2 linked regions of the Callithrix jacchus genome follow. The protein of the gene in region 1 purifies or fractionates together with the protein of each later gene. This does not show direct contact. Links are inferred from orthologs where the notes say so. Each region holds a gene or a part of one and is shown in the gene's direction. Other genes may lie near its edges.

Region 1 (3,812 bases):
GCCAACATAGTGAAACCCCGTTTTCTACTAAAAATACAAAAAGTTAGCTGAGTGTGGTGGTGTGTGCCAATAATCCCAGTCACTCAGGAGGCTGAGGCAGGAGAATCACGTGAACCTGGAAGGCAGAGGTTGCAGTGAGCTGAGATTGTGCCATTGTACTCCAGCCCAAAGGACAGTGCAAGACTCCGTCACAAAAAAAAAAAAAAAAAAAAGTTAACAGTAAACAAGAGAGTGTTGGTTTTACATAACAATGATTAATCCTTGTTTCTTTCTTGTTTCAAGATAGTAAAGAATATGGTCACACTTTCCGCAATGACCTGAGAGAAGAGATCCTGATACTCATGGCAAGAGATAAGCACCCACCAGAGGTAGGCCTGAAACTCACCAGCCGGTATATCCTCCCATAATGAGATCTTTTAAAGACTAGCTTCCCTGGTTTCATCTGCCATTTTGGAGAGTTTGCCACCCAAACCCATATTTGAGTGATGATACATCTAAACAAGTCTTGCCCTTTGCAGAATACTGTTCTTAAAGTTAACCTCTTTACTATAGTCCAAAGCAAGCAACGTGAAATTAAGTTTTGTCTTCAGCTTGCTTTTTAAAAATATTCCATCTACAGAGGAAATGCATAGCTGAATTTGAAAGGTGTGGCTAATCAAAATATTTATTCAGGACAACAGGGTCCTTTTTTATTAAATTACTTGTGTGCTATACACATAACATATTCAAATGGTAAAATGCATTGCTCAAATTTTAAGGGTTCTGTGGTAGTCTCCTGAACTGAAATCCTCATAAAATCAATTAGGCAGTTCTCCTGACTCCTAAAGCTTCTTAGCTTCAGGTAGCTTTTGCTGACTGTGCCGCTGATATCAAATCTACATATGAAAGCCAACCTGTCAGACAGACTGCTCTGGATTGGCCAGCCGTCTCTCTCAACTGTATAGCTGTCCTCTTTTTAAGGGCTGGGAGAACCCAGGAAGCCTGGTGAGTACAGTACCACAGGTATACACTTTGAAGCATTTGTATTTGGCTCTAAACATTGACCCACGCTGGTAGAGGTTCTCTCATTTGGCCGTATAACATGTATTTGATGGGAACATGCAAATACCAACCAAAAAGTAAACTTTTGCTTGCAATGTGCATGATGTATTTGAGAGAAGGCCTGGTTTTCTCAAACCATAGGCTGAGAATTATCTTTCCCTTTCTGCTTTCTGTGTCTATGGACAGGTAAGTCCCTTAATCTCATCACTCCACTTAAATGGACCAAAGATCAAAGAAACGTAGTTTTGAAAGTGTTCTGGTCATTTGGGTTGTGGAAGTATTTTCAGATGCTTCTGCCATCCCACTCTCCAACTTAAAATGTGGGCTGCGTACTTAGACTTCTGGAAGCCGGCATTATGCACATTAACTAGGCCTTGACCACAACCCATTCTTGGTTGGTGCCACTGTTCTGGTTATGTTTTATCAGCACTTCATTCAGCCTTAATATGGCCAGGCTGTGATGATTGGCGCAGGGGTATGGACCTCAGCTGATTCATGGGAACTGAGTGTATGTGTTTCTCCTTTGTCCTGCATGTGGCAGGCTGATGGGGAGTCATGAGTGGGGGTGCTTGTGCATGGCTCCTTGTATAAGAAAGTAACTTTATTTGAACATCTGATTGTCAGCTATCTCCAGGAAAAGATAATGAAGGCTTGTCTTTGAGGTATGGCTCATACACATGCCTCTCTAGCAACTATGCTGCTAGTGACAGACATTTGACGTTTGCATTTGGTTGTTAGCTCAGGCAGTTTCTCACACAAACTGCCTTAATATGGCCAGGCTGTGATGATTGGCGCAGGGGTACGGACCTCAGCTGATTCATGGGAGCTGAGTGTATGTGTTTCTCCTTTGTCCTGCATGTGGCAGGCTGATGGGGAGCACTTACATGAGACTGTTGCCTCAATCTGAGCCTGCTCTTCATAACAGAATTCTAAGACAGACAACCTGTGCAGCATTTTAAGAGAGGGAAACAGTGTGGTTCTGTTCCATGCCTCTTTTCCAGCTGTGCACAGGATGAATTATTCTACAAGAAGACAAATACAGTTTGAGTATCCCTTTTCCAAAATGCTTGAGACCAGAAATGTATGGGATTTTTAGATTTTGGAGCATTTTTGGATTAGGTATATTCAATCTATATCAGCAAATCTCAACATTGGCAGTGTATATCAGGTTTATCTGCGAAAATTGCAGTGTCGATATATGTCGTTTGGGGAGTTGAAGCACCTGAGGTGATTCTCATGTACAGACAGGGTTGGGAGCTAGTAGAGCCCACAGATGTGCGTCTTCGGGAGCTTACAGTACAGTTAAGAAAAAGACATTTAGTCTCTAAGTTCAGAGGGAAGACAGCTATAGTCATCTGATTGCCTTTTCTAACAGTATTCATAATCTTTCTCCTATCTTGAGCAGGAAAGTGTTGGGGCTTTTCAGGAAGCACAATAAGATCCCTAGGTAAGTTGAAATTAACTTTTCCTCCTTGGGTACAGCCTGGAAGTAGTCACACTTGGAATTTCTTCACCAGCCTTAGCCACCACATTTGGGCACTCTTTTATCAGGCAAGCATGCCATCAACTCCCCACCATCCTAGGCATCCTGAGGCCAGCAGTTTCTGTATCTGTGCTCTTGGATCACAGTACGCTGGGGCTAGATTGAATAGATCATCATGAAGTCATATTGAATGAATGTTGATAATCCCTGTCCCTTTAGAGTTAGACTTAACCCCACTGGAAACAAATAAAAATAAATGTTAGACTTTATGTAATCGTCACTATGGAGGTACTTACTATTGGGAATTCTGTTACTGAACTTACATTGGATCTTACCTATAAGTGTTTTACCGAAGGGGTTGGAGAAAGTTCACACTTTGCCTTTCTTTTACAGTAATGAGTTGCTGAATGAGTTTATGGACAGTGCCAAAGTGTCTAACAGCCCTTCCCAGGCCATTGAGGTGGTAGAGCTGGCAAGTGCCTTCAGCTTACCTATTTGTGAGGGCCTCACCCAGAGAGTAATGACTGACTTTGCCATCAACCAGGAACAAAAGTAAGTGGGTCCTGTATCTTCACCATGAAGGAAAGTTTGTAAAATGGAGCAGACCTTTTATCCATCTGCCCATTCAAAATGTTCATAGCTTACTATCCCGTATTTCCTTGCAAAAAGCCAGTGTATTAATTTAATGATTTCATTTGTTATGCAAGTCAGGAAAGCCTATAGATTTGACTGTTAGAAACCTTTTTGTTCCTAATACAGGGTCCCTTTTTCTGATTTCAAAACTGATAGGCTACAGGTGAGTATCAGAGACACCAGAAACCCCAGCACCCAACTGAATTACAGTGTGATTCTCTGGTTTCTTTTCTTAACAGGGGAGCCCTAGGCAAGCTAACTGCATTCACCAGTAACAATGATACTGACAGCAGCAGTGACAGTGACAGCGACAGTGGCACCAGTGAAGGCAAATGAAAGTGGAGATTTAGGAGCAACAATGGCCTCACTGTAGCTACTGGAATTGCACCTGAGAACTGAGATATGTTAATATTTAACATTATTACAAAGAAGACAAGATAGAGATTTGGTGAATTTGTTCCTGTGAGGTACAGTCAGTACACGGCTGACTTATTTGCTACGTAATAACCATTTATTAATGTACCGTGCATTAAAGGTTTAGCATTTAAGTAGCAACATTGTCATTTTCAGACACATGGTGAGGTTCACAGCTCTTGTCATCAGGATAAGCCTGCACACCTACGGTGTCCGTGAGCTGACCTCACGCTTCCATCCT
Region 2 (4,492 bases), on another chromosome or scaffold:
GAGTAGTGGCAGTAGGAATGAAAAGACTCTGAACTGACATTTACAGAGTTTAGGACTGACTCAGGACGGCCTTTAGGAGGTGGAATTGACAGGCCTAGGCGGCATTGGTAGGGGTAAGGGATACTGCACTAGCCTCCTAACTGCTTTCTCTACTTCCATTCCTTGCCCCTTTGCAACCCATTCTCCACTCAGCAGTCATTTTTAAAAAGATGCCCCTCCCTACTTATGACTCTAAAATTGCTCTTCTCACTCTTGCCCTTAGGATATATTTCCAATTAAATATACCTGTGACCCTGCCCACCTCTGCAACCCAATGCCACACTGGAGTCTTATTGAACTACTTGACTTGCATTTCCCGAGATCCCACCTCTTCTCGCCTGTACCCTGTGAGCGGAAAGTCAGCCCTCCACCTTCTCCCTGCTTCCACTCCCAAAATACTTCGTGCTTTTAATTTAATTTTATTTTTTTAAAGACGGGGTTTCACCATGTTGGTCAGGCTAGTTTTGAACTCCCGACCTCAGGTGATCCGCCCGCCTTGGCCTCCAAAGTGCTTGGATTACAGGCGTGAACCCACGCCCGGCCCAATATTTCGTGCTTTTGCAGCTCTCGAGTATTTCCAGTGCTAGCTGTTTAAATTCCTGCCGCCATCAGAAGGCAGAAACTGACTCGAGAACTATTCCATCCCCAGCCGATAGTAGACGCTTAAAAAAGAACGAAAGACGGTGGGTGGAGGACTTCAGTAACATCAGGTGGCAGCCTCAATTTTATCGTTTGTGAAACGTGGATAGTAATCCTTCTATCACATGGCTGTTGTCGGAATAAAATGGAAAAACCAAACAGGCTAGCTTGTTCAATAAATGTGAGTTGAATTAAATCTGATTTGTGGCCAGTAGAAAAAGACATGAACACTCGAAGACACTTCTTTTTAATACATGTGTATGCCTGGTAAAACGGATCAGAAGGCAGGTCCCCATGGAGCACACCCTCGCCTTAAACATGCTAAACGTGCTGAGCCCAGGCTGTCTGAGCCTGCGTGGTCCCTCCAAGGTGACTGCTCCGACAAAAGCGTAAGCTCCTCAAACGCATACGTTTAAGGCAATTCCAGAAACCATAGGCTGTGCCGCCACAACACGGCCATTAAAGAAAAGATGACTTTATGCCTGCAGTCATGTTCTCAGATCACAAGGACTGTATTTGGAGCAGAGAGGGAGGGAAGCCTTCTCTTTACGAAGGGCTAATGCGTAGTCGGGCCCCCCTCCAATCTCGGGTCCGGCCGGGTAATTCCTGCCCAGCATTCGGGCGTGCCTTTTCTTCAGCTGGGACACAACCCTGAACGTGGGGCTAGCCAGCCCGGCGGCTGCCTCGTGGAAATCACGTTCTCTCTGCCCGTCCTCTCGGGTACTCTATGGTTTTTGTGGCCGACTACTCTAATTCTAGTTCCGGTCTCTATGGCGGCCGGCGGAGGCAGGAACGGTTGTAGGTCGGCTGAATTAGCCGCCAAAGGGCCAATGAGAGTGGAGAACTGATAAAATATTATCCAGTAGAAGCCAGGAATTGGGGTCAGGTGGGCAGATTGACAGCAGCAGTGGCCAGTGAACAACGCCTAGGGCGGGTCGATCGTAGGGCTTATCCCGCCTGTCCCGCCATTCTCGCTAGTTCGATCGGTAGCGGGAGCGGAGAGCGGACCCCAGAGAGCCCTGAGCAGCCCCACCGCCGCCGCCGGCCTAGTTACCATCACATCCCGGGAGGAGCCGTAGCTGCCGTAGCCGGCCCCAGTCACCATCACCGCAACCATGAGCAGCGAGGCCGAGACCCAGCAGCCGCCCGCCGCCCCCCCCGCCGCCCCCGCCCTCAGCGCCGCCGACACCAAGCCCGGCACTACGGGCAGCGGCGCAGGGAGCGGTGGCCCGGGCGGCCTCACATCGGCGGCGCCTGCCGGCGGGGACAAGAAGGTCATCGGTGAGGGCCGGACGGGGACGGGTGTGGGGCCCTCGGGCAGCCTGGCAGCGGAACCGTTAGCCTGTGCAGGGCGAGCCGGCGGGCGCGCGGCCGGCGGGGACCGACTCCGCGGCGCGCGGCCGCCCCTCCCCCAGCACCCCCACTCATCCTCACGGGGGCCCGCCCGGCAGGCGCGCGCGCTCTGCCTCCTGCGCCCCCTGTGGACCCCGCGCGGACGCGCGCCCCTCCCCCTGCGGTCGCGCGCCCGCCAACCGCGTGTGCGACGGGGTCCCCTCCCCGCGACCGGCCTCGTGCGCTGTGGCCCGCACGCCGTTGTTCGCGTCTCCCCCACCCAGCTCCCTTCCGCGTGTGCTCAGAGGGCGCGGCGCACCGCCTACGCAGGCCGGAGTGGGCCGGGGCGGCTTCCCCTTCCCTCACGTGCTCTCCGCCCGCGGCCTGCGCACACACCCATTCTGGGCCCGCGCCCCGGGCCTGCCCTGGAGCGCCCCGCGGCTTCAGACTCACCCACGTGTGCGGCGGCGGCGGTGGTGGCGTGGCCCGGCACCCGGGAGGTGGAGAGAAAGGGCTGTCAGGTGGCCTAGCGGGCAGCGTCCTAGGGACCGGAGACCGAAGCCGGGCGGGTTTGGAAAAGGATAGGTGGTAATCGTGGCTTGTTTTGCTTTGTTTTCTTTTCCAGCAACGAAGGTTTTGGGAACAGTAAAATGGTTCAATGTAAGGAACGGATATGGTTTCATCAACAGGTGAGCTCCCGGACCCTGAAGCTTCCATCCCACTGTCTCGCTTGTTGCCTGCTCTGTCGGCTTCTTGGCGCTTGGGAAGCCCCGAAGGGCGTTTACTACCTCTGGTGTATTAGTGTGATTTTTTTTTTTTTTTTTTTTAATTCCTTGACGACTGGAGGGATTAGTGGATCTAGAGAAGGTCTTTGTTTTGCAGCTAAATGTTAATTTGAAGCCAACTTCAAAGGCTTTCTTACAGTACAAAGCAATTTAAAAGGCAAGCAAAGTGAATGAGCCATGCCTTAACAGGGTAAACGGGAAACTACGGTCCTGTACATTTTTATCCTTGTTATCCTTTTCTACTTGATTGAACTCGGTGTTTGAGAGAGTGATCCACTGACATCGGATATTTACACCTTGTTAACATTTTGGGGGTAAGATTTGACGTGCCAAGTATATGAGGTTTTGTCATCTTTACCGAGAGGTGTTGCCTTTTTCACCTTCATTGTAATACCTTAGATAAATTTTATATTAGCACCAGAGAGAAGCTGTTTTTATTTGCTCATAGAATAATGTATCTGCTAGAAAATGGTTCTTTGCTTTCTTCAGTTCTTATTTTTCATTCTTCCTTGTCCTAAAATCATACTGATTAAATCGATTTCTATTAGATTTCTGGCTATAGCTTAGAGTGGCCATAGTCCCTGGTAACTTGACATTGTTCTTGCTTGAAGGCAAAGCTGCAGGCTCCATCTTTAGGACTTACTTTCGGGTTGTTGCTGGTAATGTGCAGTACACTGGATTCCATGGGCTCCCTTGTGAGCCAGGCATCATTTTCAAGATGGCTGCCAAGGCTTAGTAGTGCAGTTTACATGAGTGTAGAGCCCTGGGTATGCCAATAGGAATCTTGGCCTTATAGGTATGGTACATAGTGCCATCTCAGCATTCTCTTACTGTAGAAGACCTAAGCAGATGATTAAAAGAACAATTAAGAATGTTTGTGGAGTGGACAACAAATGGACGAAATCAAGCTTAAGGACAGACAATCATAGCTTGATGAAAAACCGTTCGTTCATTAATCAATCATACATTATCGTGGAAACAGAGTAAGAGAGAAGCATTTGATGGTCTATTCTCTACTTTTGCAATTGTGGGAAAACGTTTTGTTTCTTCCAAAATCTTAGGATTTTCCAACCTTCTATACTGTTGCCACTGTTGTGGCTGTAACTATGTTTTTCATTAATTTTTTGATAATAGCTTATTAGCAAGGAAGGAGGGGAATGCTTATATATGATTGATATACTGATAGCTTTTTAACTGATCTTTCTGAACTTACTAGTGTTTTAGTTTGTGTTTCTGTCTTATTCTGAGTCTCCGAACTAGTCTAACCCTTCAACCAGTGTTTTTCAGATTTAAGTGTGCTTGCCTAGGTCTGGGTACATTTTTTAGCAAGAATAATGTGAGCCATACCTTCAAAATCACTGCTTTTAACCCTTGACCCAATGTAATGGTAACTTTGGTGTGCAGATTTGCAGCCTTTTCAGTGGGTAGATTGCAGTTTTGTATGTATGAAGTTTAGCGTGTGCCATGTTTCGCTACATTTTGTTGAGTGGCATAGGTTATCACATTTTTAAAAATCAAGTTTTATCCAAAATAAGAGTAATTCTTACAAGTATTTCATGAGGTGTCATTCATTGAATATCTCTGTTCTGAATTGGAATCAACTCAATTGGTCATCCTCCAGGGCAAATTGTGAATTGGCTTTTGATGGTCTTTTGTTTGGACTATCCTAACCTCAATTATTTTGTCAAATTGACTGG

Evidence for each region.
Region 2: the proteins of PTCD3 (region 1) and YBX1 purify together in Homo sapiens (co-immunoprecipitation; 4 studies listed by BioGRID and IntAct, with this or other methods). This does not show direct contact. The link is inferred for Callithrix jacchus from reciprocal best matches to the Homo sapiens genes PTCD3 and YBX1.

The regions. Positions count from the first base shown.
Region 1 is NC_133515.1:26,866,309-26,870,120, reverse strand, and holds part of PTCD3 (small ribosomal subunit protein mS39), read left to right. Parts: intron 1-282; coding exon 283-368; intron 369-835; coding exon 836-984; intron 985-1,492; exon of another isoform or gene 1,493-1,613; intron 1,614-1,816; exon of another isoform or gene 1,817-1,953; intron 1,954-2,446; coding exon 2,447-2,488; intron 2,489-2,917; coding exon 2,918-3,076; intron 3,077-3,396; coding exon 3,397-3,493; 3' UTR 3,494-3,812. UniProt on the Homo sapiens protein: Mitochondrial RNA-binding protein that has a role in mitochondrial translation.
Region 2 is NC_133508.1:79,327,017-79,331,508, forward strand, and holds the start of YBX1 (Y-box-binding protein 1), read left to right. Parts: upstream 1-1,654; 5' UTR 1,655-1,793; coding exon 1,794-1,959; intron 1,960-2,635; coding exon 2,636-2,699; intron 2,700-4,492. UniProt on the Homo sapiens protein: DNA- and RNA-binding protein involved in various processes, such as translational repression, RNA stabilization, mRNA splicing, DNA repair and transcription regulation.